4 linked regions of the Schizosaccharomyces pombe genome follow. Changing the gene in region 2 together with the main gene of any one other region gives a genetic interaction. Each region holds a gene or a part of one and is shown on either strand. Other genes may lie near its edges.

The links.
Region 1: mutations in vps3 (region 2) and sqs1 together harm fitness more than expected from each alone (negative genetic interaction), as found in Schizosaccharomyces pombe (one large-scale study listed by BioGRID).
Region 3: mutations in vps3 (region 2) and plb5 together harm fitness more than expected from each alone (negative genetic interaction), as found in Schizosaccharomyces pombe (one large-scale study listed by BioGRID).
Region 4: mutations in vps3 (region 2) and cdr2 together harm fitness more than expected from each alone (negative genetic interaction), as found in Schizosaccharomyces pombe (one large-scale study listed by BioGRID).

What each region holds. Positions count from the first base shown.
Region 1 is NC_003423.3:1,299,892-1,307,766, forward strand, and holds sqs1 (G-patch and R3H domain-containing protein), read right to left. Parts: upstream 4,245-7,875; 5' UTR 4,138-4,244; coding exon 2,050-4,137; 3' UTR 1,706-2,049; downstream 1-1,705. Other genes in the region: transmembrane receptor Wsc1, read right to left, coding at 1-724; ldb1 (LIM domain binding protein), read right to left, coding at 4,930-6,105.
Region 2 is NC_003421.2:473,048-481,866, reverse strand, and holds vps3 (GTPase regulator Vps3), read left to right. Parts: upstream 1-2,805; 5' UTR 2,806-2,878; coding exon 2,879-2,954; exon of another isoform or gene 2,955-3,002; coding exon 3,003-3,067; exon of another isoform or gene 3,068-3,121; coding exon 3,122-3,227; exon of another isoform or gene 3,228-3,279; coding exon 3,280-3,467; intron 3,468-3,523; coding exon 3,524-5,821; 3' UTR 5,822-6,084; downstream 6,085-8,819. Other genes in the region: coy1 (CASP domain-containing family protein), read right to left, coding at 116-1,854, 1,921-2,031, 2,089-2,140; histone H2A-H2B chaperone Nap1, read left to right, coding at 6,296-7,477. UniProt on the Schizosaccharomyces pombe protein: Required for sorting and processing of soluble vacuolar proteins.
Region 3 is NC_003421.2:1,738,980-1,746,764, reverse strand, and holds plb5 (phospholipase Plb5), read left to right. Parts: upstream 1-3,305; coding exon 3,306-5,177; 3' UTR 5,178-5,563; downstream 5,564-7,785. Other genes in the region: nar1 (iron hydrogenase), read left to right, coding at 1-471; wtf antidote-like meiotic drive suppressor Wtf16, read left to right, coding at 6,117-6,255, 6,423-6,668, 6,718-6,930, 6,976-7,167, 7,208-7,270, 7,321-7,427.
Region 4 is NC_003424.3:1,361,601-1,370,003, reverse strand, and holds cdr2 (serine/threonine protein kinase Cdr2), read right to left. Parts: upstream 5,209-8,403; 5' UTR 5,159-5,208; coding exon 2,831-5,158; 3' UTR 2,036-2,830; downstream 1-2,035. Other genes in the region: cyclophilin family peptidyl-prolyl cis-trans isomerase Cyp1, read right to left, coding at 895-1,059, 1,100-1,196, 1,279-1,358, 1,563-1,616, 1,682-1,723, 1,764-1,793; cyclin Pas1, read right to left, coding at 6,198-7,433. UniProt on the Schizosaccharomyces pombe protein: Acts as a mitotic inducer. In G2 it negatively regulates wee1, a mitotic inhibitor. Also has a role in cytokinesis where it required for proper septum formation.

The sequences.
Region 1 (7,875 bases), on a different chromosome or scaffold from region 2:
TGATAAACGACGAAGACGAAGATGGCCGACTAGAAGATGAAGAGGAAGATGAGCTTGAAGATGAAGAAGAATGAGAAGAACTGGTGGAAGACGTTATTGGTACGGAAGAGGAAGAACTAGAAGACGAAGAGCTGGAAGAAGACGAAGAAGACGAAGACGAAGAGGAAGAGGAAGAGGAAGAGGAAGATGAGGAAGAAGAAGAAGAAGAAGACGAAGAAGAAGAGGAAGACGACGAAGACGAAGAAGAAGAAGAAGAAGAAGGAGATGTTGTTGTTGTAGTTGAAGATGAGCTTGGAGATGATGATGAAGACGAAGAGGTCGTAGACGACACTGACGAGCTAGAAACCGTGGTTTGCAAAACCCCATTGCCAGTCAGATAAACCGACCAGTACAGATCACCACCACACATAAGAGAACCATAACCTGGACAAGGCGTTGTGCAAAGAGAACTTGAAACTTCTGTAGCAGTAAGTGTACTACCGCAATAACATTGATTATTACGGATAGCTACAAATGCTATATTATCAGATCCACCACAAATGTTGTTATAGCAATACGCTGGATCAAGATAGGTAAACGTGCCTTGTTCAGTTAAGCTACTATCCACGAGATAACAGCCATATTGAGTGTTCATGTCAGCCGCCACCAACCGAGTAGAAATTATCAAAAGGTAAACAAAAAATAGTAACCTCCCCTTAAAGGGAGAGGAATTTAAAAAGACCATGGAAATTAAATCGTGCGTAAGTATAATAGGAATGAAAATTAAAACTTAAATTTGGTAATAAAAATTTTGCCCTCAGTAAATTAAGTTGTTTTGTCTATAGACTAAAGAGAAAACAAATTATTGGACCAGTTAAGAGAAATATTATCAAAAGGCGCAAACCGAATGAAAGAAAAGAAAGATTGGGTAAATAAAATAAAGAGCGTAAAAATTCAAATGCCAATGAAGAAAATAATTGTTGCAAAATCACTTCTTTATCAACATGAAAAAGAAAACAATAAAGGATAAAGGCTCAGCAACGCAAAATCAAGAATTATTAAGACCGAGCAGTTGGTGAAAAGTACTCAATATCCAACTTCGTTTGTTCCGAAATTAAAAACAGAATTTAAAAAAAGAACGAATAAAAAGTAAAGAGTAAAGATTAATTCAGAATTAAAAAAGAACGCGAATTCCTGAAGTTCAACAAAATACTCGGGGACGAAAGTACAAACCCGTACCGAACTTGGCTATCCACAGAGCTTCCGTTTGAATCGTTTCTTCGAGCTTCCCAGGCTTGAAAACTCCTTTACTTTAAACAATACACTAGTTCCTTAATAAGGATACAGTGTTTGACAGATTGTCGTCAAAAAACACTTAAGAATTCGATTAGTTGTTAAGTGGAAAAGTTAGCTCCGACGGGCCCCATAAAGGCTGAAGTCAGTCGAACCTAGGCGAACACTATTGACCCTTACCGAAACGGTATTTTTGCCTTATACTATTTAACGAATGAAAAAGGCTCCGATTGATACTTGGTTGAAACTGCGAATAGTGCGATGTTGGGTATCACTATTGACCGATATTGCCTGTTAAAATGACCTAAACGTTACTTTACATAACTCCTTATACTGTATTACACGTGTTATATATTAAACGCTAACTGATTTTACGATTATCTTCTTTAAATAGCAATAATAACTCTGTACACTGCGATATCACCGTTTTGTAGAACTTCTTTAGCTGCAGTATGCCCATAGCAGCAACTTACATATTCAATTGCTCCTGTAGTGAGAATAATTATTCTGTCTATTTAAATGAAGTTTATATCTTAAAATAAAAGATAGTTATCTTTCTGGATTTCCGGTTTATCTCTTGAATGGAAAGACACCATGTCGAAGTACCCACGGTTAATTTTTTACTTCACATCAATATGTACAAATCGCTAATTTGAATATGATGCTTAACCTAGAATAGTATATATTTATATATATATATATATAAATTGGAGTATTATCTCAAGTAAATAAGACACAGCTGATTAGTTTCTCGGTTTGACCAGTCACCCTGGTTTTCTAACCTAAACCACTTCTGCTAACTTTAACAATAGCACGTAAACTATCTTTGGAACCTTCATTTTCGGGATGACCAAGTCCTTTACCTGCATACCATCCTAACTTTTCGAGCAACCGACGACCTGGATTTTCTTTGCTAATTTCAGGGGCATCTTCTCCAACAATTTGGCCATCATATACACGTGTGGCTTTACTCGACCTCACAGAGGAAACAGTCATTCGAGATTTCCTACCAGATTTGGAAAATGACTGATACTCAACCCTGGTCTGTAAACGCTCCATAATCCTGGTAAGTGAAACCAAATCCACACTAGATGCATCAAATTTATGAGTTTTGGAAAGCATAGTATACCGCTTGTTTCCAGATCCATAACTTCTCGACTTCAAGTTCAAATCGTTGGCAAGCGCATGAACCAATCGACGAACATATTTTCTGCATGGAGGAAGGGAAATTTCTTCAATGGCCGAGTGCTTAAACTGTTGCATCCGTTGATAAACATCATTTATAAATATCTTATCAATTCGTGTAAGACTAGCATTGTCAGAATCGGAAGAAGACGGCTTCTGGCTTTCGCGCAAAAGTTTCTTTTTGCTTTTCTTTCCAAGTAGCCCCTCAGAGCGGAGTTTCTCCCTTTCCGCTCGTCTTCTTGCCTTTTTGCTTTTATCTTTAAGCCATTGTTCTTGCAATTCAGCGTACAAGTTCATGCTCTCATCGTCCAAAGAATTGGAAAAGGCATCTCCCATTCTAGCGGCCACAGCCTTTCCTGCCTTTCTCTCTAATTTCTTTTGAGCTTTACGCATTTTTTTAGGAAGTTTGCGATCTTTTTTCAAACCTTTTTCTTCTTTTACCTTCGCCCCTTTTTTGCTTTGAGAAACTTTTTCCGTTTTTTGAGTTGAGGGGTTATTGTACTCTTCATCCTCACTGTCATAATCATAAATAGTAAAATCATTTTGCAAAGTATCTCCAATACTAAGGTATGCCTCAATCTCGGAATCATCACTAGCATCAAAAATTGCCAAAAGCTCTTCTTCATCTTCATCTTCATCTTCTTCCAAAATATCATCTTCATCTTCGGCTAATGAATCTGTATTTCCCACAAGTTCCGTCGTTAACTTAGCATAATCATAGTCATCTGATCCCTCATCAAATTCTAAAGATTCCGAATCTTCAAGTGAAAAATTTACTTTACCCTCTGTCTCATCGTAATTTGATATTTCAGGTTTTTCTTTCTCCTCTTCCTCCTCTTCTTTCTCTCCTTCTAGCTCTTCATCTTCGTCCTCATCATCATCATCTTCTTCTAAAACGGAGAGGTCGGCAAACTTGTTCATAGTAAACGTAGTCATTTTATCGGTGGTGTCATCAATATCAAACTCGTCTTCATTTTCGGTACTCAACTGCTCCTGTGCCTGAGCCAAAGGCGGTGGAGGTGCAGCGTTATTGTTAGCAATATCATCATTGACCAAGTTTGGAACATTTAGTATGTCTAAAGAGTCATCATTATCTTTAGAATATAACTCCTTCTCAGATTCTTGTTCTTTGTAACACAACTGCTCACTTTCTTCTGTAGATGAAATTTCCTTATCACTTGGTGCAAGATTTAAAGAATGCTGAATCAAAACATTTTCGTTCATGCTTTTCTCAGGAAAACTTGAAACTTCTACATTCTTGGTGGTATCAAACGCTTCCGCATATTCCGGAATTTTCTTTACTTTCAATGTATCACCTTTCGAAGTAATTGCTTTAAATAACACAATGTCCAACGCCTTTATTTCACCGGTTTTTGATAAATCTTCGCAGGACTTAACGTTGGTTTCCTTGGGAAGCATAATCTCTTTGCTTTGGTGCTTAGCTTCATTGTGGGCATTTTGTTCATCGATTAATTGACACAATTCTTCCGCCGGGTTGTAATTGTCCTTAGCACGTATAAAGGTAATTCGGGGCCATTGTGAAATTCGACTACTAGGGTTTAAACCAAAAGGGCTTTTAGAATTATTGGATCCCTTAAATCTTCGGATTCGTGTATCACCACGAAACCTGGCAGAAGTTTGTAACTGATCTAAAATCTGTAGATCATCAAAATTTGACATTGAGGGATACAAGTCAAAAAATATGATAAAAAAAATAATATATAATTGTTTTAATAAATAATGATGGTGAAATCCTAAATTGTGAGGTGCGTAAACCAAATGGTGGTAGTAGGATGGAGTCTTGGGGGAAAGTGCTTCATATAGTACACTAAACGATTTTGCCACGGTATTAAATACAAATTTCTAAATATTCAATTTACAATTTAACTATTAATTTCAAGTATACACGTCTATTTAAACTGAAGTTGAGGAGATTCATACATTGACCGACTCAAAGTTGAATATGAATTAACCGACAGTAGCTCATCATGTAATTATAAGTTATAAATTTTTGTATAAAACATATAAAACAGCCAAATAACTATAATGTAAATAGTGCAAGAAATAGAATGTTAGAATATAGAACGCTATACTAATGCAGTTTCTTTTACGTCCCTCGAGAGCAACGACAGGGGAAACGATTTGTTCTTGAAACAGGGAGCAATGTAAAAATACATAGAATTACTTTATAATGAAAAAAATTCCTTTTTATTTTAAAAGTATAAAAGAGAAGCGTCGAATAGGGAACGAGATGACAAATTCTGCATATGATGAGAACGGTAAGGAATTTGAAGTTGAACACATACACAAAAGTGTATTCAGAAAAAGGAATAAATAATGTAATACGCTCAAAAAAAAGAAAGTAATAGAAATTTTTCTTAAGAATTTCAAACTTAGACAACGAAAAATAACAGTGAGTGCAGATATATGTATAAGTAGCGAGCGAACCGAATATTAAATACAAAAAAACAGCTATACCTTGGTACGTTTTTGAGCGTTCAGCATATCAGAAGAATAGAAGTTAGGATTATTGTTGGGATTTTCACCTTCAACCATTGGGGAATGGGTACCTTGGCGTTTAATCCCCTGAAGACTATAGGGCGGAACAGAGGCAATCGGCATGGATTGAGGAAGAATTGATGGATCCATATTGGGGATATTATTTTGGTCCAAAAGACGATTAGCTTGACTAATTGCATTAGCAGGCATAGTGGGAGGTTGCTTGGCATAACGATAATTAGAGGCAAGACTAGCAACATCACCATTCCTAGGCGAGCCATTAAACCCCGAGGGGGCTGGATTTGCATATGGAATATTAGAGGAAGTAGACTTTTGCATTTGATGCTGTTGTTGTAAAGCTGTAGCAAATTTATGTAAAGCGCTAGTCGGACCCGATCGCTGAGCAAGAGTGAAGGCTATGAGATCGCGCATTCCCGAAATTGTTTCAGTAATTTCCATGAACCGCATGATGTGCGGTTCCAATCCATATTCGTTGACGGGTGAATCCGGCAAAAGAGAAGAAGATGAGTTAATATTTACACTTTCGGATGACGGATCCTCACTTTTTACCCCATCGTGTTGTATTTGATTTTGAGGAGGCCGCGACTGCGAAAGGGCTAGGGAAGCGTTTGTCATTAACTCGCGCAAAAGATACTCGGAATGTCCGACAGCTGAAAACTCTAAAGAGTCTAATTTTAACAAAGGAGCACGAAAGAAATGAGCCCGCAAGTGCCCCGATACAATTACCTGTACACCGCCTTGATACTGATATAAAATGCTTGCCCTTGACGATTCCACAAAATACCCATTGTTTGGAATGGCAAATTCCTTTGTATTTCCCAAAAGGAACGACATCTTTTTAAGTTTGCCGCAATAACTCAGATATAAGAAGCGCGGAAGTGCTGCATACGATAATTCAAACAATTTCGGCTCCTGGTTTGGCGAATCTTTGTAGTCGATGTTATAGCGAAATGTTCCCTTTTCAGTATAAAAATCATGCACAAATCGTCTCCAATACCCAATATCATCTTTCATGGTACTTTCCCATCCTGACATTAACTGTTCATTATATTGTAATAATCGCAAAACACCGTATCCTAGTATATTCGAGCCATTATGATACATCATGGACGCATAGTTTGCAACCATAGCTGCGAAATTTACAAGAAAGCCACCAGCGCTGCAGAATTGGATTTGTTCAAAGTGCAAAGCGCTTGTGAAACATTAACGGCCGGAGCCCGCCATGCATGGTTAACCCTTTAAGTGAATTAGAGATTGGCACGCTACGTTAAAGACATTTAGAAAATGTGATGCGCTGTGTTATTACAAACGGCTTGTATTTGGGTGAAGATAGCATCTTTCAAACGCCTGAATTTGTGATATAAATTAACATTTTACAAATTAAAATATAGAATAAAAAATTCCTTCGTAATTTACCTTGTTCCCATTTTTTACACTGATTTCGAGTATCAATATTAATGAGATCAACGCCAGTTTTCCGTATGCCCTTTATCAATGTTCTCTTATTTTGTTTTAAACACCACCTTTCAATTCGATATATTAAAAAGAATGAAAAATGTATGTGAGAGTATGTCAAGATAACTTGCAAAGTAAGAGTCAGCAGATTAATAAATAGAAAATAATATTTAAAAAGATTTAGGAATGTCTTGGTTTGATTATTTTAATATGTTGTAAGGTTCCTTTCCGAATGTATACAAGCAATCGTAGTTTACAGATCACAAAATCGGTAATTTATTTTCAGTGTCTCTATACATTATTACTTATTTGATGATTAGTTCTTGAATTTGAAGATCATCAAAATCATTGCCCTTACTAAATATTGTTGAAATAAAAATTTTGCATCGGTATTAAGTTTTGTGTTTGTATACCTCGAAATCAACCAAAAAAAATTTTTTAAATGGTGTCGCATAGTGTAATGTTTATAAATTAAGTAAAAAAGGCTTGATTTCAGGAAAGATTTGATATAGTTGATGTATCTCGAATTACTTTATTTTGAAAAAAAGCAATGAATGCGATATTGCAAGAGAAATCATTCATCAAAATTTTTTCGTTATACAGAACAACAGCACAGTTAGTATTTCTTGATAATACTGATTACAATTAATATGGTTTTTTTTAGAACTAAAATTGATTACTAATTCATTCTTTGGTCTAATTTCTATATCGTTTTTCGAAAATTACTACTCCATTAATGTTTCTCTAGCTGTTTTATTTACTTACTTTAAATATTTCTCACTATAGCACGTGAGTGTAACGAGGTAACAAAATTGACTATATGAAACGAGAGTTAGTTTCAAAGAAAAGGAAAAGCAGGTAATTCTTTTACGGTCATTTATCATTGATTTTTTAGGTATAAAAAAATTTTGTGTCGAAGAGTTGTGAAATTTTTAATAGATTACTCAACACATGATTTTCTAGATGAGAACTGTAAAGTGTGTTCTTGGTTGTGAAAAGAAAACATATAACGATGAATAAAGAAAAATAAAAATCTCGCTGTCCTATTTAATGTACTTCCATTTTTCGCGTTTTAATATGTTATAAACACATATCGAATTTAAAAGTGTTGTAGAGTTGTTTTGTTATAGTTTGTTACATTACTCCAACTTGCTACTTTCTAAAACGTTCTGTCCATATACCGTACTGCAAACCTCACCACCGTAATGCGCAAAAGTGCATATTTGGACACAAGCGATGTCAACGGTTGCTACACACTTCTTCCCCAACCACTCACATCCTTCCAGAAATTTGAGGATGAAGCAGGGTTAGGGTTTTAAAAGGTATATATACCGATCAGACGCCTTCATAAGCCAACGTTCTACTTCCATGAGTCTGAAGGAGCCACATCAAATTAATATGCTAGGACGCCAAAGTAGTGGAGACAAGAGGTTTATTGATTGA
Region 2 (8,819 bases):
TTCCCTTCCCTTCATAATCCATTCCCTGAGACAGCATACTTTCCATCTAAGGCAATATTTGAAGTGCTTATTAGTAGGTACTAGCTCCACTCTCGTTCAGTGACTTTTAATTTCGTCAATAATTCATAGGAGTATATGCGGTATTGCCAGCGATTCCCAATTTTAAAAGAACAATCATAATGAAAAGATGCAAAAGTATTAGATACATGAAAAATAACCCCCTAGTTGCTCTGCTGAATAACAAGGTGCGTAATAAAGCATACACTATTCGCTCAAAAGAACCCATTCTCGAATAAGCTCTTTCAGCCTCTTTTTTACGAAACGAGGCAAACGGTGAAATGCTGTTTTCGTAGGCTGCGGCAGTTTGGAGGTGAGAAGAGCTAGGCTCAACATGCTTCTGATAATGGTCGCGAAAACGCATTTGTTCATAAAGAAGGGTGTTGCTCTTTTCCACCTCCTCCAATTTACTCTCCAATAATGCAATCTTGTCATTTGCAGCACTCACTTGGTTTACTAAAGTTACATTCGCACGTCTGAACCGATCTCTTTGCTGTTTGATAACGTCAACAATGGCAGAACCAGTTTCGTTAACTGAATTCCTTGACAACACGCTTCCGTTAAATAAACTAGGATTGCCACCCATGATTGACGATGTTGGAGAAAGTTGACCGCTAGTTCCTTCACGGCGATAGGTGGTGTTGGACAAGTAAACACTTCCCTCAACATCAACATCGGCAAGGTCTTTCTCTAGTTTTCGAATTACCTCCTCTTGTTCAGAAGCTTTTTGTTCCAAAAATGAAGCCTTCTTCGACTCTTGAGTAATTCTATCAGTTAACTGGGCATTTGTGGAGCGTAGCTTGGCCAACTCCTCAGATAGTTGCTTTTCGCGCTTGAGTAATTGAGACTCTAGAGAAGTGTTTTCATGAGTCGCATGTTCTCCACTAAATTCAATTTGTTTTAAAACAGATAGTTCTCGTTTAATCTCGTCGTAATCCGAAAATTTATTGGCCAATGTTAAGCTTTCTTCTTTAACTTTGCGGGCCTCTTTAACTTCATTTTCCAGCGTTTGAATGGTGGCACAATGTGTTTCCATTTCTTTTCTTGATGCTTCCTTTATTGATTCCAATTCAGTAGACAATTTTTTATTAAGAGAATCCATAAAATCCAATTGTTGTTTCTGCTGGTTACTCAGGTCATCCTGTGACGACCCGCTCTTTTGCTCTTTGGTGTTTTGCTTGAGCACAGCAATTTCTGCTTGCAATTCGACAATGATTTTGTTAGCATCATCCAATTCAGAAAGAATAGCATTCACTTCGGCAGATTTGGCATTAACGTCCAACCCTGCTGATTCATTCTGACTGGCCTGTAAATCATGATCTAGTTGTGATGCTTGTAATTCCCGAATTTTTGAAGTTAATTTTTGAATCGTACTAGCATTTTCCTGTTCCATGTCTTTATATAGCTTTTGTTGCTCAAGCCAAGACTTTTCGCATTCTTCTTTTGTGATTGCGGCACGCTTTTCCGCTTCAGTCTCTACAAGGTCCTTGTATTTGTCAAGCTCTTTTCGTAAATTTTCCACTTCACGTTCCAGCTTTTCCTTACCCTGTAGCGAGCCTTCCATTTCTTCCTTTTCCTTTTTTAAATCTTCAATCTGTTTTTGAGTTTTAAGGTTGTTCGCAGCCTCAATCAGCAAAGGGTAGGGATCAGGAACCTCGCCTAGTGTTTCATACACTCGAAAGAATGTTGCTTCAGCGGACTTTGCTCGTTTGGTCAAAGAATCGATTCCAGACTGATAAAGCTTTAAAAGGCCCTTCATTTCGCCTAGCTTGACTTCATCAGGCTGCTTGCGAAATTCTGTATATTAACAATATTAGCAAGGGTTAATGTATACTAGGTATGCTGCAATAATAGACACCATACCCTTCGTTTTTGACGAAAGCTCTTTCCTTTCATCCAAAGATGTCTTTTGCATCTTCTCAATTTCTGCTGCAGCTTCATCTGCTTCCCGTTGTAATTCCTCAAACCGCGAATCTATTATCTCACGTTAGTAACTTTGCTATTTGCTTAAAAATTCAAAACACCACGAACTTTTCCATGACTCCGTTAGCTTTTGGAGTAAAGCTTCTGAAGCAACTGCCATTATGTTGCAAGTTATTAAAACGAAACACTAAAATGACTAATGTTTAGTATTTGTTTTGTGCTTAGCATTTCAATGAAATAGCGCGATGTCAGCGTGCTGAAATAGTGAATTGGGAGTTACACAACGTTCCATTAAACACTTCGCTATAAGAATTTGTTTTTATGGAAATGAGTAATATGTATTAGGCGCTTAATTCGATTGGAAAAGTGATTGTATATTGTATTGATTTTGCTTTTGTAGCCTTGTATTTTGGGAATAATGCAAAGCCTATTGACAAAAGGCCAATCTTTTTAGATCAGCTATCAAATTATTCAGTCAATTAATTTTCGAAGAGACTTGAAATTAAGTCAGTCAACAAACATACAATCACTTCTGTGTGCAATTATTATAGTTCCTGCTATTTCACTCTGTGAGGCTATCTCAAATTGCTATAACTCCCAGGATGCTTGCAAGTTAACTTAGAATTACTATGGATTAAGATTGGAAGAGAATCTCCTATAAGGATTCCACGTATTTGAATAGTTAGTTTTGTAATAGAATCTAATTTTTATTTAAATTAGCAGAAATTCTAAATTTACTTTCTTTCTATATCATAACATTTCGTTTACTATGGGTTACACGCTACCCAGATCTACTCATATTGAAAGTAACCATATTAACGCAACAGATACACTTACAAAGGGCTTTTTCATGAATATAATTGTTTAATGAATCTTTTCATTAATTCAAAATTTACAAATGTCTGATATTGAGCTGCATGAGTCAGCAATTCCTAAAGAATTGGATTCCCCTGTAACTACCATTGCGCTCTATAGTAAGGCAAGCATCCGGGGCTATATTGCTAACTATTTGATTTTTTTAGATAACCATCTATACTTTGGAACGGAAGGTGGTGATGTATTCCTCTATAATTTTTCAAATTTCCAGGTTTGTGTTTATTCGTGTGTTGCACAGGGTTGTTTGCATTAACACGCGTATTAGTTAAATGAATCACCAGAGCTTGTAAAGAAGATTTCGTTGGTGTCGAAATCTCGTGTAAACCGAATTCTTGCAATGCCTTTTCTTGGCGCAGTTTTTATTCATCATGGTAAGCTATGTGTGGTTTACGATAACTTTGGAATACCAATTAACGGTGGTAGGTAGTTTCGCAGAAGTATACAAGGAAGATGATTTGACTCAGCTTTACCCTTCCATCTCCTTTAAAGGCTTGGTGGAATTCTGTCATCCAGGCCAACGTATTGACGAGAAAAGCACATATTTAATTGTGACCAATACTCATTTAAAGCTCATCTCATTTCAAAAAGATGGAATCATACTAGTCAAAAATGTATGTTAGATGCTAAATTGTTTACTTCATAAAAGCGCTAATTAACAATAAACAAGGAACTTAAATACCCCAATATTCAAACTGCTCGTGTGAATGGTCATATCGTTTGTCTAGTTACCGAAAATTCCTTTGAATTATTGGATATTCTCACCTTTGATACTACTCCCCTCTTTCCCATTATCAAATACGATTCGGAAAATAATGGGCTAATGTACAAACCCATGATTGTTTTGCATTCTAATGAATTTCTCTTGATTACCGGTAGTCCCAAAGATGCCATAGGGCTTTTTGTAGATTCCCAAGGGAATGTCACAAGAAGCACTCTAACTTTTTCATTTTATCCAAAACATGTTTTTTCTACATCTCATTATGTGTTCGCCATTTCTTCTAGTTCGTTACAGATCATCGACATAAATACTCTCAGTCTTGTTAAAAGTATTAATCTGAAGGATGATGAAAGTTTCTCTTTTATTTCTCGATTGACAAGCGTTCATTTTTGTGATCGCCAAATATTTAGTAAATTCTCTGCTGTGAATACTGCGTCTACCTCAAAAACTTCTGATACGATAGAAAGGGCTTCTTTTAGCAAGCCTTCATTTATTTTTCTTACGAATAAATCTTGGGGGTTTGGCGCTGAAGCTCATTTTATGAACAAACTAGAATTCAGTATTACCATAGGCGATATTGAAGCCCCTCTGCGTCGAGTGAGTAAGCGATTGCGGAATCCGAAGAAGTATGGAATAACCAATGATGTCGCTTATCTTCAATCTGCTTATTTGGAGCAAATCTCGGCATTACAGTATTGGAAGCAAGGACAGTATGAAAATTCTCTCTCTTTGCTTGAAACTTCCAAAATTGATCCTCGCGTAGTTATCTCCCTCTATCCAGATCTCTATCATTCGGAGCTTTCCTATATTGCTTTTCAAGGTGTCATTAGTTTTCGCAAAAGCATATTGTCCGTCGATGATACTGTTGCTAATGTTTTAAAATCTAATGAATTGTTTCGTGATACTGATCAATACACTCAGAGACAAATGATTGAAATTACTAAGGAAAACGCATACATCATGTTGATGCGTTATCTGAAAAATTACAAAAAGAACACGAGCATATCTGAGTATCTTTTATCTTCGCAAAGAGACGTGATGCTTGCTGTAGAGCATTCGTTATTACTCCTTTATTTAAATATGGATGATTTAGCCGCCGGTACCAAAAATGCTAAGGAGTTGTTAGAGTCTGGTCTAACTGGTGTTGAAGATATAAAAGATGTGTTGATACAGAAGAAAGAGTATTATTTACTCTCCGTGTTATTGGCTACTGTAAGGGATCACGATGGTGTTCTTCAAACTTGGAAGAAATTAATAACAGGGGATTATGAAGATCGGAGATTCAACGATGGGTTAATTAAAATACGAGAATATTTGGTTAATGATATTGAGCCTTCGACATTCTGGGAATTTACTACATGGCTTTGTAAACACGATGCAACGGAGGGTACGCGCGTTTTGCTTGACAAAACAGTTAGTGGATCCATTTCTGCAGAGGACGTGTTAGAGCATTTGGATTCTTCTCAAGATGATGTTTTGATTGATTACCTTGTAAAGTCGAATTCCGTCACTCATCGAGCGCTACTTTTAAAGTTGTGCGTTAATAAGTTGCTTGGCAGTTTATTGGATCATAACGATTTTAAAAATCGCCTTGAGACTGCCATTGAAACATTTAGGGAGCTTCCTTGCATGGAGAAACCTACGTATGCCCAATACTTGGAACAACTTTGGGGGGACATGAGTGATTTCAGTACTCATCTTTCATTTTACTATTTGTGTTCTATTAATCTGATGGAAAATGTTGAAGAAGAATCTATAGATAAAATAAAAGATATTTTGTTCGACATTCATGTTGACAATTTATATCTATTTCCTCAACTTGAACACTCGTTTTACAAAAGGAAGAAGAATTATGAAAAAGCTTTATCCGTTTTGGTTACGAATATTCATGACTATAAGGGCGGTGAAGCATACTGTCTTCAAATTGATGATGTTTATCCTCAGTGTTGGTGCAATTTGCTCGAAAAATGTATATCAACAGGAGATGGATGTAGTGATTTTATTAAAGAACTATTGTATCGTCGACCCTTTTCTTATACGCTTTCCTACGTGTGCGAGCAAATTCCAGATCATTGGAATCTTAACTTATTAGCAGATTTTTTGTGTATATTGCAAAAAAGAAATGCTGAGCGTTTGAATGAATCCCAAACTCGTTTAACACTTGAGAAGTCGTTGTCTCAAAATTTGGAAGAGTTGTTCATGGCTATTAATCGTCGTAATGTAGCCTTGGGCAAAAACGAAATTTAACCCAGTAACATTTAAAAAGTAACCTTTGGTTCAGCAAAGTTTTTACCTCAATTTTCGATACTTATTCGACTGATGTTTAATTTAATGATAGAATAATTTCAATGAGACAAAAAGATTCTAGCTTCAAAATGTTGTTAGAATATAAAGGGCTTTCTTCTACAGTTAATTCAGCTCTTCCTGATCTTTACTAGTCTTAAAAATATAAATAATATTAACTATGAGCCTAAATTCATCGAATTTTATTTTTAAAAACCCCCTTCGGGAATAAAGAAAGTGTCCGTAACACAACGATGCACTGTTCACTAAGGTCGGAAACCCCGAGGATGAGCTCGGAAGTTCCGCGGGTAGGTAGATTCCCAGGGTGCAGCAAATATTCTTACACTTAGCTTCTACCACTACCCTTCCCAGTGTTATTAAAAGGACGTACGGAAAGCGTCTGAAGCATAATTGATTGCTGGAACAAGTAGAATTAATATGGTAGAGAACGTTAATATTAATAACAAAAGGGCCGGAAAAATGTCTGCCGCCCCAACTCCCCATAACACCCCATCGGGGACGAGCGCTCCCAACTTTGGTGCGAAGGCTCCTCAAGTAAATACTATTGACGAAGGAGATGAGAATTTAGAGGCTATCGACGGAAAATTGGGTTCTTTATTACATCTCACTTCAGAAGGAGTTTCAGAATTGCCTGAAGCCGTGCAAAGAAGGATTTCTGGACTTCGTGGTTTGCAAAAGCGATACAGCGACTTGGAGTCTCAATTCCAAAAAGAGCTGTTTGAGTTGGAAAAAGCTTATGCAAAGAAGTACGCACCTATTTTTAAGAGAAGATCTGAGGTTGTTCGTGGCGCTGACGAACCTACCGAGGAGGAAATTAAGAAGGGTGAAGCTGCCGATGAGAACGAAAAGAAAGAACCTACTTCTTCTGAGTCTAAGAAACAAGAAGGTGGTGATGATACTAAGGGTATTCCTGAGTTCTGGTTGACCGCTATGAAGAATGTTTTGTCTTTGTCTGAAATGATTACTCCCGAAGATGAAGGAGCTTTAAGTCACCTTGTGGATATTCGCATTTCCTATATGGAAAAGCCTGGTTTCAAATTAGAATTTGAATTTGCTGAAAACCCATTCTTTACTAACAAGATTCTCACCAAAACTTATTATTACATGGAGGAATCTGGCCCGTCCAACGTTTTCTTGTATGATCATGCTGAGGGCGATAAGGTTGATTGGAAAGAAAATGCCGATTTGACTGTTCGTACCGTTACTAAAAAGCAACGCAATAAAAACACTAAACAAACTCGTGTCGTAAAGGTTTCCGTTCCTCGTGACAGTTTCTTCAACTTTTTTAATCCCCCAACTCCTCCATCTGAGGAAGACGAAGAATCGGAGAGCCCTGAATTGGATGAATTGTTGGAACTTGACTATCAAATCGGTGAGGACTTCAAAGAGAAACTCATTCCTCGTGCCGTTGAGTGGTTTACTGGTGAGGCTTTAGCTCTTGAAAACTATGACGGATTCAGCGACTTAGATGTTGAAGAGGATGAAGATGATGTTGAATCCTCTTCTAACGAAGAAGTTTCCGATTCCGATGAGGAGGACAGTGATAGCAAGCACACTGCTCATGGCCAGCAAAACGCTGCTGAGTGCCGTCAGCAATAAACAATTTCGATAATGTGCATATATTATGGGGTTAATAACAATGGGTTTTCTGTGTTTTGACTAAAGGAAAGATACTTGAAAAGTATGATTCTTGAGGTTTTCATGCAACATTTGTAAACCTTTTGTTGTACAGGATAGGTTCGGACCACATGTGAGTGCTTGCGGACGAGATTCTGCAAGTTTATAAAGTTTTTAAATATCTTCCAATTTATCGAGTTTTTTTCGTTTATCAAATAAAAATGCTTACAGTCGACGTGTTTTATTTTTTACTGGAATTGGTGGTTTTGAGATGAATGGCTTTAAAAGACCTAAACGACATCGTCTACATAATGGGAGGTGTGATCGTTCTTGGCGAATTTTCCGAGTTTCTAGTTTGAGTACGAAAGCCTTTAAAGATTTTGGAATGCTTATATTTGATCAATCATGATGAAAACGCTCGGACAAACTTGGACGTTTTAATATTTTCTTGCCTTTTTTTTCAATCAAATGCTTGCGAAAAGAACTAGTGATAGTTTTTTATTGTTAGTTTAGACCAAGTTGAAAACACTGACTGTAAAAATTGACCTTTAGTAAAGCTTAAAAAAGAGAACCCTTTTTACGAGCTTTTCTAGAAAATAATGCTTTGTTTTGACTTAGAAGTAAGCAATTGAGAATTCATAGTATGAATGGGTTGCATCCTAGTTAGTCTACTCTACCCAAGAAGTTGGGAAGGTATAACTAAACCCGATGTGTTTACATAAAAGGCTATTTCGAAAGAAATGAGTGTCAAAGTTTATCAAAAATACGATTTGTTTTTTTTTCGTTTTTTTAGACATAAAGAAGCTTGCAATTCTTGGAGTAAGAAGGAAACTAAAAAAATGCGGAGCGCATTGTAAAAGAGTGTTCGGTTGTTATAGTAAGTTCGTCTAGCGTTTAACAGATACCAGTTTTGTTTTTTAAAGTTAGAATCATCAAATAATGGAGATGATTACAATTGGGATGGAGGATTGCATACTACAATTTATCTTAGTCTAAATTTAAAGCATATTTGACATATCTCTTACAACATCTAATATTTTAATTTTAATACTTGCCTTAAATATATTATAGCTTTTATAATTTTCGACTTAGACACTATGCCTGAGTGGTTAAAGGGACAGACTAGAAATCTGTTGCGGTCTCCGCGCGCAGGTTCAAATCCTGCTGGTGTCGAAAATTTTTGGCAATTTTTATATTGAAAATTCTTTATATTCATTTGCAACTTAAGAATGTTTTTAGTATATAATGCAAAGGTCCTAAATAAAACAGCGTCCAATTTGATGGAATGCGTTTAGTTGTATAATATTGTTGCAGCAATTTGGTG
Region 3 (7,785 bases), 1.3 Mb from region 2:
GAGTATACTTTACGACACCCCGAAACGAATGAACAGTTAATATCTATGGCAACGTGCTATGGATTCCGAAACATTCAAAATTTGGTACGCCGCGTACATGGAAATTCCTCGGTTCGAAAAGGCCGGGTTTTATTAAAAAAACGAGTAAGAAGCAATGCTCAAAATCCTACAGAAGAGCCTTCACGTTATGACTATGTAGAAGTCATGGCATGTCCAGGTGGTTGTATCAATGGAGGCGGTCAGCTTCCATTCCCCTCTGTCGAAAGAATTGTCTCAGCCAGAGATTGGATGCAACAAGTTGAGAAACTGTACTATGAACCCGGTACCAGGTCTGTAGATCAATCCGCAGTATCCTATATGTTAGAACAATGGGTCAAAGATCCTACGCTGACACCCAAGTTTCTTCACACATCCTATCGTGCAGTGCAAACAGATAATGATAATCCCTTATTGCTGGCCAATAAGTGGTAAAAATAATTAAAAGAAGGAAAATTTATGGGTTTTTTATAATTGTTTATTGGGAATTTAATAGGTTTTGGCTATTTTGGGGAAATAAAAATTTGAAATTAATTGATTAGTGAAGAAGTTATACGCGAATCTTTAGTTGGCTAATATGTGATTCTTCATACATGCTTGATAGGATCCTAGAAGTACTTTACTTCTGAATATTTCATGTGAATTCATTTCTCATTGTATTTTTTAGATTCGCAAGATTTCAATTCATTACCGATATCCGGTATATTATCAAATAATTTACATAACAATAATGATAACTCCATTATCATCCTACACATTTAAAGAATACACTGGTAAAAACAATCATTTCCTCTCAATAGTACTTTTGAATGTGTTTTAAAAATCTAAGTGTATCCATTTCGTAAATAGAGAGTTTCACTTTGAATATTATTTCTATTTTCTTTTAGGGATTTCTAGTTGAAAAAAAAAAGCGCTTCATATAATTTTAATCAATGAAGAAGATAAATTGTTTTAAATACGAAATCTCATACAACTTCATCCTTCAGTAAATTTTTTACCAAAGTTGCTCTTGGTCGCACATCTTTAAAGGTAGCCTCAGCTATAAGACCATAAACAAAAAATCTATAGAGGCATTGTAAAGAGATAAGCAACTTCGAAGTTTTATACACCAAACACAAGTAGTTATCAGAGTTTTCCATTTAGTTTAATTTAATTTGGCTAACTATATATTACACTTAGGGAGTATTCAGCTGTGCGACAAATTTCCACAATTACGCATATCTAGTTTATCACTCCTTAAGTTGGTATTTGTGATTTTGGACGAGTTGTTGCTTAACTTGTATTGCGAAACTTACTATAATACAGTATTCGTTGACCTTAATACCTCAACTGCCTTTGCTACGCTAAGGATTCATCACATACCGATGACACTTCAGTAGTTCTTTAAATTTATTTAAGACGTACAAGCCAGTGCATAATCTAGGTTTACAAAACTCTTTGTTATAGCTCCTTAGACACGGGAACTAAGCAAAGGAGGTATACAGTCTGGATACACGGGAACTCTTAAACAAAGTGTAAAATAATGTATCTCTTAATAACTCTGTCGAAATGGTTATATATCACATTGTGAGCTTGTTACAATACCTTATAGCTTTGCATTTAGTTCAGTGCAGTTTCTTATGTTTGTGTTTTGGGTTTGTAAAGTATGATAAAACGAGAGAGATATTTTGACAAACTGATGAAATTCAAGATCTACTGTATCAGCTTATAACTGGAATAGAAAGAAAGAATATAAAGGCTACAATGTAGCCATGTGCGGTCAACGTTTAGACTGCCGATCTTATGACCTAACTAAAGCGATCGCTATTCAGATCCATTTCTGCTTGTAGGGATGAGACTTTGTAGAATAGCAAATCTGTAAATTAACAAATCTTCAAATTTTGTTGCATCAAGCAATAACTTCTACTCTATCTGTTTCTATCAATGGTTTTTCATATCTCGAATTGAAATATTTCCAATGTGAATCAACTAAAAACATCGCACCCCATTACCTTATTGAATATTCGAATTTGGGGATTTCCTAGAAGAGTTGGACATTAAATGACGTTAATAGAAGTAAAAAAAAAATAGAAAGTCGTTTCATCATGGACTTGTCGATGATTTGCATTACCAGACAATTTTACATCCGTGAGTTCGCAGCAATCGGGTTGGTATCCGTTTATAAATTTAGCCGTTGATATTCATCCCGTCATTTAAAGCTGAGCCTAGGTTGATCTAAATATTCCATTATAGAATCGCTGAAATATTTATTGAATAGGGCATAAATGGTACCCATGAATGCTAATGATAACTAGGCAATCCAACTCCAACTGGCATCTAAAGACTTAGTAATATGACCACCATTTCATAATCTCACGGTGCTACATATAGAAAATCGTTAACATCATAGATGGCATCTTCGGAGTTCCTTCTAGTCCACGCCGAATTGCGGATCAAGGTAAGCAGATCATGAGAAACGTGGGTCATGCGAAAAGTGAGTCTACAAGTGAGTTCATCCTCAAAAGCCTATATATATTATATATATAGCACTTGGGAATAAATGAATAAAGGTTGCAACTTTAGTGATTGAATCGGTAAATCCCGTTAAAACAAACAATCAGTGATTCATCCTTCTTTAGTGTGATCTGTGTAGGTAAGCAAGCAATTTACAAATGCCTAGAAAGTTGGCAAGGCCGGTTTGTGTTTGGCAAGGAAATGAGCAAAAACGTCTGTCTATTCCTAAAACGGACGGTGGGTAAGCAAAATCCCAACTTGAAAATTTGAATTGGGATTTTTTTATTTCAATGGAAAAAGATAGGTTAAATCATAAAAAAGAACATGATATTATTTTCTTGGAAATATGTCGAAATCCTGTCTCATCCCAACCTTTTCGACAAAACTAGGTGTCCTGATGGAAATATAGTTTAAGCTCATCGCTTGCCGAACCGCTCCATCAAATGCTTAATTTGCTTTTATTGACATTGTAGCTCGACGGACTCTCTAGATATCTAAATATTTTTCGTTGAACTTACTAGATTGGGAATTGACAATTGAAAGCTCTTTAATTGATTACTTTCATTGTCTTGATTTTTTTCATTCTCAGAAAATTTCAAAAAATTCAGACTTTAGAAACTCGCTGTTTGTTAATCACTCTCTTGCTTTTTTTGGATTCAGAGAAAATTGAAAAATTCGAACTTTTTTTAAAAACGAATCATTGACCGTATTCTATCCTTTTATCCTTTATTAAACCAACCTTGCTTTTTTAATTTTTATTTTATTTTTTTTTAAACATGAAATTATCTTCCTTTGGATTATTTCTCGCTCTCCAGCTTTTGCCGGCCTTGGGCCTTCCTTCTCGTATCGATGAAGTAGACGTTTCAGACCCAGAACTAATCGGATTATTGAAACCCGATAACGTTGATAAGCCAGCAAACTCTATACCCCTTTCCAAGCGTAGCACAAGCCCATCGTATGCGCCTTATACTGTTGCTTGCCCTAGTGGCTCTCTGCTTCGACCTGCCTCCGATGGCCTTAGTACTGGTGAACAAGAATTTGTTGACAAACGTGTCTCAAAGGTTAACAGTGCATTGGAAAGCTTTATTTCAAAAACCGGCTTAAAAATCGATACAAAAAGTGTGCTGAATGACACAGATGGCCCTCGTTTGGGAATTGCAATCTCTGGCGGTGGATTTCCTGCCATGTTAACGGGAGCCGGCGCTATTAATGCATTTGATGCTAGAAATGGTAACACTACGTCTCTTGGTGGTATTCTTCAATCTTCCATGTACCTTACTGGTCTTTCTGGTGGCTCTTGGCTTGTGGGATCTGTTGCGGTTAACAACTTTGCCAATATTACTTTCTTGCACGACGACGTTTGGAACCTGGACCACAGTCTCTTCGCTCCCTATGACGACGCTTTTGAGAACTTTTATATTTACCAAGAGTGGTTTGAGCAAGTTCTGCAAAAGAAGAATGCTGGATTCAATGTCTCCATTACTGACCTTTGGGGCCGTGCTTTGGCTCTTAAGCTTGTCAATCCTTTGACTGGAGGTGCTAATACTACATTCTCTAGTGTAACAAATGAAACGTGGTTCCAGGATGGTGAATTTCCCTTTCCCATCATCATTGCTGATAATGTCATAGAGGGTGAAACCGTAATCCCTTTGAACGACACTGTCTTTGAATTTACACCCATCGAATTTGGTACTTGGGACACTGGGGTGGAATCATTTATACCCATGGAGTATACAGGTACACACCTTATTAATGGCATTCCTCTTAATGAATCCTGTGTGCGTAATTTCGACAACGCTGGTTTCCTCATGGGTACCTCTTCAAATGTTTTTAGCGGTATCCTTCCTGCGACAAATGCATCACTCACCGCTAGTAATAATACCTTTAACAATGCTGTCCTTAGTTTCCTCGAAATGCTTGCCGAAGATCAATTGGATGTAGGTCTTTATCCCAACCCTTACCAAGGTTATGGAAATGCTTCCAATACAACCACTACCAATCCCTTGGAGCCGTATCCCATTATTGAATTAATAGACGGTGGCTCAGATAGTGAAGGTATTCCCTTTTGGCCCTTGCTTCATCCACAAAGAGACGTAGATGTTATTTTTGCGATTGACGGGGGTTATCAAAGCGCAACGAGTGGATGGCCAGATGGATCGTCCCTAGTTTCTACATATGAAAGAGTTTTAGCCACTAACTCCTCTGGCGTTCGTGGTTTCCCATATATTCCTGATACCAACACATTTTTGGCTCTTGGTTTGAACACTCATCCAACTTTCTTCGGTTGCGACGGTAGAAACACCACAGCCGGAAACCATACCGTTAATGACGATACTCCTCCTCTTGTAGTTTACTTCCCCAACTATCCTTGGACTATGTATGCAAATGTCACTACCTACACTGTTCAACTGGAAGATACTTTGTCCAGTGGAATGATTGAAAATGCCGCTGTTGCTGCTACCCAAAATAACAGTGATTCATTTGCTGTCTGCGTTGCATGCGCTCTCGTTCAACGTTCCTTGGAACGCAAAAACATGTCGACTCCAAGTCAATGTGCTTCTTGCTTTAATCAATACTGTTGGAATGGAACAATTGCAAGCACGACCGTTACTACATATGCACCTACAGTTCTGTCAGCCAAGATTTAGTATGCAACGCTCACGACAATCCATTTTGTTCGATCTTTTCCATGGTAGCATAGAGCGTAAAGCATTGAAACACTAATGTTCATATATTCACTAATCTAAGAACCAGCAAAAGTCGGCTCTTTACTTATTGCTCATAAACAACGAGAAGGAAGATATAGTGAATAAATATAGGAATGAAAAAAGCTTCAAGAAGCCATTAACACCATCGAATTTGAATTCCTAAGCTCTAAATGACACTAATTTATGTAACCTTTGCAGAAATGTTTCAACTCAAATACTGTGTCAGCAGTAGTCCAGCACGCTACGATATACTACGTTGCGTAGCACTATATGTCATGCTAAAATATACATAACATTAGTTTATTGATGATTGTAGCTGTTTGTCCATCTATCTACACAAGTTACACATTGGTAGCAACTAGAGAAAAATATAAATAGAGCTACCACTGAACCTCATTCCTCAGTTCAGTTATTGGCTATATCGGTGACCGATACTACTAGACTTTTTATAACAATAAATATAATATTATTAGTTAACAAAGCGCATACCGCTATGTTGTAAATCCCTAGAAATCTCGCCGCAGTGCTATATATCGTTAAACCAGATACCAAACTGCGTAGCTGACATTATAATTATACTACAACGTTTGCTTCTCAAAAACGTTTTAAGGAAAGCTAAGTTAGGGTAAATAAAAAGGGCAGTGACAAAATAAATGTGTCAGAAGCAATTGCATTTTGAAAATGAGTTTTCGAATTTTAACTTTTACCTACTATTATTAAAGAGAGAAGTCTTCTTTGAAAGAAATTGCTCGTTTTTTATGTTGAACGGCTGAAATTGGGCTCCAGAGTGAAAATTCTTGATTTCGCTGTTTCGTTTGTCGCAATTATAGCAATTAATTCGCGCATGTATTTTATTAAATAAAGAATGATCTTGAAAAAATGAAGAATAATTACACTTCCTTGAAAAGTCCTATAGATGAAGGAGATGAATCGAAGACAGGACATGAAATCGATTTGGAAAAAGGGCTACTTCCAGAATATGATTCAGAGGAAGAGGGCGCACTGCCTCCATACTCGGGTAAGAATTGTAAATAATAAGAAAGGAATTACTCAATTGAAATTGAAGCTTGCCATCGTAGTCAAATTGCATGCTTTGGTCATTGTTTACAGTTGGCCATGCAATGCACACATTTTAATACATGTTCTTTCTTTACTAAAGTCTTTCAATCATATTAATTTAAACAGATCACGCACGTGTAAGCAATTCTCCTAACACACATAGAGAAAACAATCCTTCCAGGTCGACAGATAATTCTTCCCCTTTCTTGATAAAACTGCTAATATCATTCACACCAATCTATGTACTGAATGTACTCGCAATTTGTTATCTAAAGTATAAGGACGCTTTCTTTAAAAATTATGGTGCAGCGGAATGGACATTATTTGGATTTTGGTGTCTTGTTTGCACTTTGGCTTTAATATTCTTGACTTGTAAGTGAGACAATGGGGTTATTCTTACCTTCAGTCACTAACTCATTAGACTTCTATGAAACTTGGACCAAGGCAGTTAAAGTAACTGCGGTCGGCTTGTACAACTCAAGGAAAAAATGGGTAGTAATAATCTGGTTATTATGGGTAGTCATTTGTTTTGTACTCTTTGGTTGCATCAAATTCGGTAACCTGAACTTAGACAAGGCTCTCATCTGTTCTACATGCAGTATTTCAGCTGCTTTACTTTTATTTTTATTATATGGTATGTGAAGTTATGGAGTTACCAATGCTGACCGCTAACACGCAGTTCGTCTTCCATTCTGGACACTCAAGCATATGTTTTCTGGTTTGTTTCAAGTGCTGGGTGTACAAAGTTGTGTCGTTATTGTAACGAAAGGTTTGATGTATTTATTTGATAAACATATCGACGCGACAGGCTACGAAATTGAAGCCACTTCACTCTTTGTTATAGGCAATTTTTTTTTCTTTTACGAAATGGGTTTGTTTAATATTCCTGTAATTTATTCTAATCGTATCAGAATGTCCAGGTGCTCTCAAAAGGATGCCCAAATTTATCAGGAATGGTATAGCTTCTTTCCTAGGTATGTGTATTCAACCAACTGTATGAATGATTCTTTACTTACCCGATTAGAAGGTATAGGAAATGCAATTGGGCGGATAGGAAATGCGTTTAGAGGTGCCAACGATAATAATAATAACATTCCCTTGGAAGAAACGGAGGCCGAAAGCGAAGTCTAATTGCTTTATTATTGTAGTTGTCGCTCCAGTTGGAAAACCTCTTTACGACAATCACCAACGCAGAGAAGCTGCGGCTTTTTAAAAAATAAGCACTAACATTCTTTAATTATCCTCTTTCTTTATAAGTTTATGGAATGTATGCTTAACTTATTCTTTCAATTACCAAAAATTGTCAAACCAATGCATCGCTTAAAATGGTTCGCGATGTTGGATAATCTGGATAATATGCATTGAGATTCGAATCTCTTATTTATTATGATGCGAGTCTAATTATGTGTCTTTTTTAATGGAACCCAAGACACAAACAATAATGGTTTAACTTGTTTACGACAACTTTAAACCAACTAATGAAATCGGA
Region 4 (8,403 bases), on a different chromosome or scaffold from region 2:
AAGTATTTAAAGTTTGTAGCCTTTTCAAACTTATCTTTCAATAGAAAAAGTCTTTCTCATGGACAATTTCAGTTAATGAATGTTTCCCGCTTGAGGAATGAAGCTAAGTTTTGGTCATATGTTGATATGTCTAGCTGTGAAAGGTCAATTAGATATATTAGGACCTTAAAAAACATTATTATCATGCTTGTGAGTATTCCGTGACCACTACATTCGAACCTTCAATTGACAAATATCATTTATTTGCTTAATTACAATTATAACGTAATACGTTAAAACACGTAAAATAATTTGCTAATTATGGATCACACAAATTGGCGTAAACAATTAAAAGAAGAATTAAATAAAAAAGAGAAGGATTCATGCCGTTTTTATGCATTGGACTTTATTTTGATTCTGAATTTTTTTTAAAATAACATCCCACGTTGTAACAAAAAAACTGAAGCAATAGTATTTGAGTAATCTAGTCCAATAAACTCTTGTAGTTGTATATTTGGCCCGAGCTTTAATCTTCTAATTAAGAAAAAAATACAATTGTAAAATTTTTGATAAGGAGAAAAGTACCGGAAGCAATGCTAACGTTGTAAAAGGTTTTTGTTCAATCGTTTATGGTCAAACAACTAGGTTGATATGCGTAACAAAATCCATCTCCAATTTCTTAAGCTAGAAAACTAGTTAATTCCTTCTTAGAAGCTTATGTTATTCCACTTGACTTGTAAAATTTGACTTCAATTAAAAAGTCCACCTTTTGTAAGGAAATGCTTCTCTTTATCAACTATTAATTTAGCTTTTAATATCCGTGACAAATAACTTTAGTCAATATCTTCAGGATGTGTTGAAAAATCGAAAAAAGACTTATAGATTAAAACCTTTGAATATCCTTTAAAGAATAATTTAAAGTGCAACAGCTTTAATGATTTTTAAAGGTTCAATTGGGCGGTCAGATGAATCCGTTCGGATAAGACCCATACGCTTGCACACAGAAAGCCCGCTAACAACACGACCAAAAATTGTATGTTTTCCGTCTAACCAAGGAGTAGGTGCTAGAGTGATAAAAAACTGAAGATGGTTAAAGTTAGTGTAAACAAAGTCATCATACCTGTGATGAATTTGTGTTAGGTCCAGCATTGGCCATTGATAAAATGCCAGCTCCAGTGTGATGTAAATCGGAATGAATCTCATCGTCAAATTTATCCCTAATCAATTAATAAGAATGTGAAAACTTCGTAATAAAGATGCAAACAATCGGTGAATGCCGATTTATAAAGCTTTGCCTACCCATATATAGAAGTTCCACCTCGACCTGTACCTGTGGGATCCCCTCCTTGAATTACAAAGTCTGGAATAACTCTGTGAAACTAATTTAATTAGTACCAATTTCACGAATTAAATCAAATACGATATTGAATGAATTATAGGACACATATTTATATGACTGACTGAGTCCATCATGTAAATGTGAACAGTTAAATCAATAAAATAACACACTTGAAATATTAAATTGTAGACTCATATTTCAACATGCTTATTTGCACGATGCAAACAGTGCGAAAAAAACTTACAATAACACCATCATAGTATCCTTCTTTTGCTAAAGTATAGAAATTTTGACATGTCTATAAGTTAGCGATTCTACTTTCAAAGCAAACAACACTGTTCGTCCTTTATTCTTGATGCGTACTTTAGGAGCATGTTCTGTATACAATTCAATAAGAATTTTTCCCTAAAAAATGTTAAATGCTTGAGCTTGGAAAAGATCTTACCAAACTTGTTTGTAACTCTACATTAGCCATGGTATTTACTAGTTTTTACACGATTTTCTTGCAGTTTTTCGCTGCTTGTTCAAGTAATAAGTTGAAGTTGCAACCTCGCTAAAAATACTGAAAAGGCAATTGCACAGACAATTTTAAAAGTGCTTAATAATATGTCACGTACTTCATTCCAAAAAAACAGACTCTTTGTACAATGCAGATAACCTAGATATCCTACAACTTCAAATGTATTTCTTCAACTATCGAAGTAAGCAGGTTACATATTGAATTCCACTCAAATTTAATATCATACTAATTAGCATTGAGCGACCAAATACTTAATTGGAATAAATTTAATTTATACAGAACAAGCAGAAGGGTCATAAATTTCTAAACATAATACGACCTATGCTGCAGTTCATTGAAATTGTATCCGCTAGTGCTAGTTGATTGTGATAAATAAGATGAAGAAAAAGTCAAATCGATTGAAATAAACGAGACTAAAAAGATTGTGATTTAGAACGAAGAGTTAGAAAGCCAAAAGAAAAGATTGATTAAGATAAAAAATTTTATACCTAAATTAAATAAGAAAAATGTATTTCAAAAAAGATGCCAGCAATAGCCGGTCATACTAAATACAAAAATTACCTTGCTTCAGACATGCAAGTTATTATCATTGGAGTAAGTTCCAAGTACAACATCACATGTACAAAACTCAACAGGTTCCAAGAGAAACATTGTAGCAGAGCAGCAAAATATAATTTAATCATTAAATGCATTTATTGCTTCCCGGATAACCGTGGTTCCATATAGCAAGTTGAACAAGTAAAAGAAAAACATCAGAAAAAGAATGGAGGTCTATAAAGATATTGTTGGTGTATAAAAAGAGTTCCAATATGGGACAAAATGAAAGCTTAATTCAAAAAGTTCCAATACTTCCACGAGTATACATTATGTTCAATTATCAAACGATTAGCTTTTTTGATAATCCTTTTTTTTCCAAAGCATCACGAGAAAAATGAAGTTTGCAAAGGTTTTGGAGAATCAAAAAAAAATGATAATAATAATAATAAAAGAATTTAACTTTGGACGGATTGTCGTTGACGAAATACAGCAAAAGGACTACTACTTACACTCATTCGAGAAACAGGTCTGGATGCCGAAGCTTGAAAATAAGAGAGTTCCAAATTATCCAAAAACCCCTTATCTTCAAAAATCAGCTGGAATTCTGTAGCCAAATGGTCAAAAGTTGTAGAAGAACCGCTTTCCAACACAAAGACAGCTTGTGAACCAAAAAACTCAGCCAGTACCGATATTCTAAACCGAACCGGTTTAAGATTAAGTGAATTTTGTCGTTTAATACGAGCAGATATCGAAGCACTCACAGAATCATATATAATATCAGCAATGCCGATACCAAGAAGCTGCCATCTTCTAAGAACTTCTAAAATTTCATGTTCCAATTCTGAAGCAACCAAGCTGGCATAGACGCATTTACAAGAAGGCTCACTACTAAATAATCTCCTTAAAAATGATCGTTTTGGTTGAAAAGGTGAGCCGGAAAGCTTTTTCTTTGTAGAAGAAGGAGAGAATAACGATTGTCTTCTTCTATGTTTGGGAACATTCAACGAATCATAAGAGGCTGGTGATTGAGAGAGATCAGCACGCATTGATCTCTCCCCACTAGGGGTACGAAGACGACGAGAGTTGTTCATGGTTGCATTTGCGTATGGTTGATTATAGTTATTATTATCAATATTATTAGAGAATTGTTCATTTCCTACGTTGAAGCGAGTAACTCTTGGATTAAAAGCACTGCCGCGCGGGAAGCTTACGACTCGATTACCAGTGTGTTCGGACATTCTAGAAGTGACACGCTTTCTTGGAGGTCCCATACCTGTCGGGAAATTGGAAGCTGCTAAATTACCAACAATACTAGGGTCATTCTCATTCATACGAAAATCATTTGACATATCCAGTGAAGTAGCGCGACGACTTAGTTGAACTTCCGGATCGTTTATAGAAACGTTAAAGTTGCGAGGAGATAATGCAGAAGGAGGTCGGTAATTTGATGACAGCATTGAACTATCGTGGGGATATGCAAGTCCTGGGGTAACTGATTTTGGGAGTTGAGGAACAGCAGAAGATGTAGTGGCTGGTCGTTGAAGTATGGATTGGGGGTTGGTAGCATTAAAAGAGTAATTAAAAGTGCCAGAAGTGGTAACAGGTGTAAGAAATGGCGATGCAGAAGTAGCAGGTCGAGGAACAGACTCTGCAGCATAAGAAATTGGATAAGGCGCTAAAGTAGGAATATTGATAGCTTGTTCAATTTCTTCCTCGTCCATTTGCTGCCCGTTGGATGCTGCTGTACCAAGGAGATCATCGACCACAGCGCGGTTGCGATCAACTGCAGCGCTGGAAGGCGGATGCAAGTGTCTGCTCAGTAGAGTATATAGAGTTTTTTCAACCAAGGGTGATTGAGATGCCAATTTTTCATACAAGGGCATAGGATCATCGGAACATCTGAAAACTAAAGAGAGATGCTGCACTATTAATGGATCAATGGGTTGTATAGGGGCTGATATGATTGGAATAGAAATATTGGGATGAACAAAGCAACTAAGAAACGGGTGTTCACGAATTTGTTCCATGGTAATTCGAGTAGATGAATCAACATCAAGCATGCGGTACAACAGATGTTGGGCTTGAGGAGAGATATTTGATGGCATTTCAAATTGACCCTGACAGACTTTTAGCAACAAAGAACGAATGTTGTCATCATCAAACGGTAATTTCCCTGTTAACAAAGCAAAAAATATAATTCCACATGACCAAATATCGCTAGCACAACCATCATATGAACGCCCCATAATAATTTCTGGGGATGCGTAATGGGGAGACCCGCAGGAAGTCTGCAAAAGCTTTCCTGGCTGTTGAATAGACGCCATACCGAATTCACCGATTTTGATAGAACCATGGGCATCCAAGTATAAGTTCTCTGGCTTTAAATCCCGGTGGCAGATATGAAGTTTATGACAATACTCCAATCCACACAAAATCTGCCATAGAAACTTTGCCGTATCTTGCTCAGTAAAACTTCCTTTACGAAGCATGCAGTCAAAAAGCTCACCACCTGGCATATATTCGACTACGACAAAGAGTTGCTCCTGGGCTGAAATCACATCTATGAGCTGCAAAACATTAGGATGCTCGATCAATCGAAGCAAAACTAATTCACCCTCTATCCTAGCCTGTTGGCTCGAAGTAAGCTCGGACCATCCTACAATCGGTTTTACTACGGCTAATTGCCCAGTTTCACGATGTTTGGCTAAACGTGATGAATTTGGTCCTCCTGATCCTAAGGAAAGACCAAGCTCCCAAGGTCCAACTTCTGAAATTGTACTCATACACTTCAACTATTCAAAAGAACCAGTAAATCGGTGAAGTGGTGATGGCCAAATCCAAACCCCATTCATAGAACAGCATATGTGGGATGTTCTCCGTAATGCTCCCTAAACTTGTAAGCTATAGTATTTGAGTGCATTTAATTACAACAAAATATATATGTGAAATTGATTTTAACATTTGTAAAATTTTTAGTATATAATTTGTTGTTTTGTCTTAATCCTTCCTACTTGCAACTGTACTTTAGGGAAATATCAGTTAATTTTCGTGATGTTCAAGAAGATACGTATAATTATTAGTTTTTACAAAAATCGCTTACAATTAGTGTATTCAACATTGTTTTAAAGACCGTAATCAAAATTGGCTCTACTAGTAGTACGGTGTAGCAATTACTGCTTTTGTAAATGATCAAGATATTTTAGTTCAATGTTTCACAGTTTAATCGTTGAAAAAATATTACTTAGACAACTCTGTTAAAAAATGATTGAAAGGACTCTTAGAGCCTTCAAATAGGATTGGAGCTCAGTAGTAGATTTCAAATGGCTACATTCACCTGCCTAAAATATATAACTATCTTAATGAGCACATACATAATCTCTAAATAGTTTGACTATTTGACAAGTTTATGGCCATAAGAAATCAACAAAATTATCTTTTTTGAATACCTTGCTCTACTGATATCAATTTACAAGATGCATAAGTAAATATAGTTGCCAATCGTTAATTCATTCATACCATATATACATCGTTTTGCTATTAGAATGTTAAAAAAAGATTCATAGAAACGACAACAATATTTGATTTTTAATCAAAACATTGACAAGTCTAGATATGAAAAGAAGGTAGTAATATAAACCTAATCAAGTTTCCCATATCATGATTATCTTCCACACAATTTGAATAGATAAATCAATAGAAAGAAAACATTATCGGTATTTATTGACATCCGCTGTTAAAATGGCATCAGTATTATGAAATTATTCATTAAATATTATAGTTTTTGAAAGAAGCGGCGAAGACAGCGCAGATTGGGCTTGATAATTAAAAGTAACTGCGACGCTTAGCACTGTGTTCCGTTAAACATGAGTAGTCTTCTTCTAAATGCCTTTTTTGAGAACAAGGTTGAGGGAGGGACGCGACATATGCAGACGCTGTACCCAGATCACAACTCACAGATACGGCAAGTGGTAAGACGCTTGCAAAAGGCATATTAAATGTAACTGGACCAGTAGCATTGTTCAATTTTTGAGCATTATAGCAGTAAGCAACACCTCCATTGGACTTAGAAGTCATTGGCCGATATACTCCAACCTTTGGTGAAGAAGGAGTTGGTGGTAGACTAACTGGCTTAGAAAGGCTTGACAACCGACCCGGTAATACTTGAGGATTTACATAAACTTGCGGTTCCATAAGCGGTATTTGTTCGGGTGGCGAAGCAGTAGTCAAAGTGCGGGACTGATTTGAAGCCTGAATATGTGCTTTACAGACATTCATAGGAGCCAGTTGTTTGGCAATGGGTAAAACAGATGGAGTGGATGGAGGGGTACTGCCAACAGATACTGGAGTAGAAGGTGCCATCGTAAGAATAGGTGATGAGTCTTGAGTTGTTTGAGGAGAAGAGGAGGGCTTCCTCGTAGCCTGATTCTTCAAAGCAGCATTAGCATTCATTCTGCGATGTGCTATCTTCGTTAAACAGGCAATGGAAAAAAGATCATCTAGAGAAGATTGAACATTAGAAAACAAAGAGACCCAATATTGTGCGACGCTGCCAAATGAGGCAACATTAGGATCGGTGGAATCATAACGTGCAGTCGCGTGAGCACAACATTCACCAACTAAAAGAGACCATCTAGCAAAAATATGTTTAGGAACGACAAGACGATAATCGATGCATTGGTAAAACATATATTCCAAAACAAGTAATTTGTCAACTGGAAGTCCTGATAGGCGAGACCAAGCACGATTGCTAAAACTACGATCCTGTAAAAATTTTGTAGCGGCCATCAAGCAGACTAAGAAAAGACGACGCCCACATAACAGAGGAATGTAGTTAGTAGGCTTAGAAGAAGCAGCATCACGAAAACGGATGAAGTAATATAAAGCAAGAAGCAACGTAGTGTAATCGACACGACTTCTGCGAATCGTTTCATACAAAAACTGAGTAAGTGAAAGGGAGTGCGAATGTGATTGTTGATTTGTACTTTTAGCCAAGGGGTAGATAGAAAGAATCACGGTACTAAAGGACTCGAGCAAAGCTCGCATGTTAACTTTCGACATCGTGTAGAGAAATATCTAAGATGAAATTTTAAGCAGCTGTTGGAGAAAAATGAAAACTTTTAGCAAGCTTTTTCTCAAAGAGAAGAAAATACGAGTTTATGAAAGGGAAAAAAGCTAACAATGAAAGCTTTCGACGAAAATTTAGTAGAAAAGTAAAAATGGATGACAAAAATTGGAAGACGAACACAATGAGGAGAACGAGTAGATTGACTAAACAGTGCTCCTAACTGGAAAAAAACAGAAATCTCTAAAGGTATGCCATGTTGAAGACACGTACCCAAAATCAGTTAATATTATTATACAAGAAAAAGAAGCTTAGTAAGCCTAAAAAGTTGCAAAAATGAAGAGATAGATGTGTTGGCGAAAATAGTCATCCAAAGAAAGAGTGTAAGAAATAATAATGATTGCTTGAAATCGAATCTTCAAGCGCACAAAGTCGAATTTGAAGAAAGAAAATAAAGCAAAACCGAGATTTTGGGGACCAGGCAGATAAAAGGAAAACTTGAACTGTGTAAAAACCCAAAATAAGCTAGAAAGGAGAGATTGAAAAAATGAGAGGGAAACTACTTAACCAATCTCCTTAACGACGATAAAAGATGCAATCTCTAGAAGAATTTGTTGGCAGAAGAGAAAAACGAATGAAGCAAGGGATGGGATTCAACGATTGAAATATAAGCTAAGATGAATGCGGAAAATAAGCAAAGAAAACAGACCGACAGATAGATAAATAAATAATAAATAAATGTTTGAAATTACACGAAACCGTATGCGAAACCCAAAGTTAATCGACGAAACCAGCGACGGAGTTAGAAAACGTTAAAGCTACAGGGCGACAGCAGACGAATGAAACAAAGGAAAAGTAGATAAGCCTTTTCCCGAGAATTCAAAGAGGCGTGATATTGCAGTCAGCAGAGTAGTTGGAACAATGAAAAAAAGAATAGAAGAAAGAGAACACAAAGCACCTAAACCC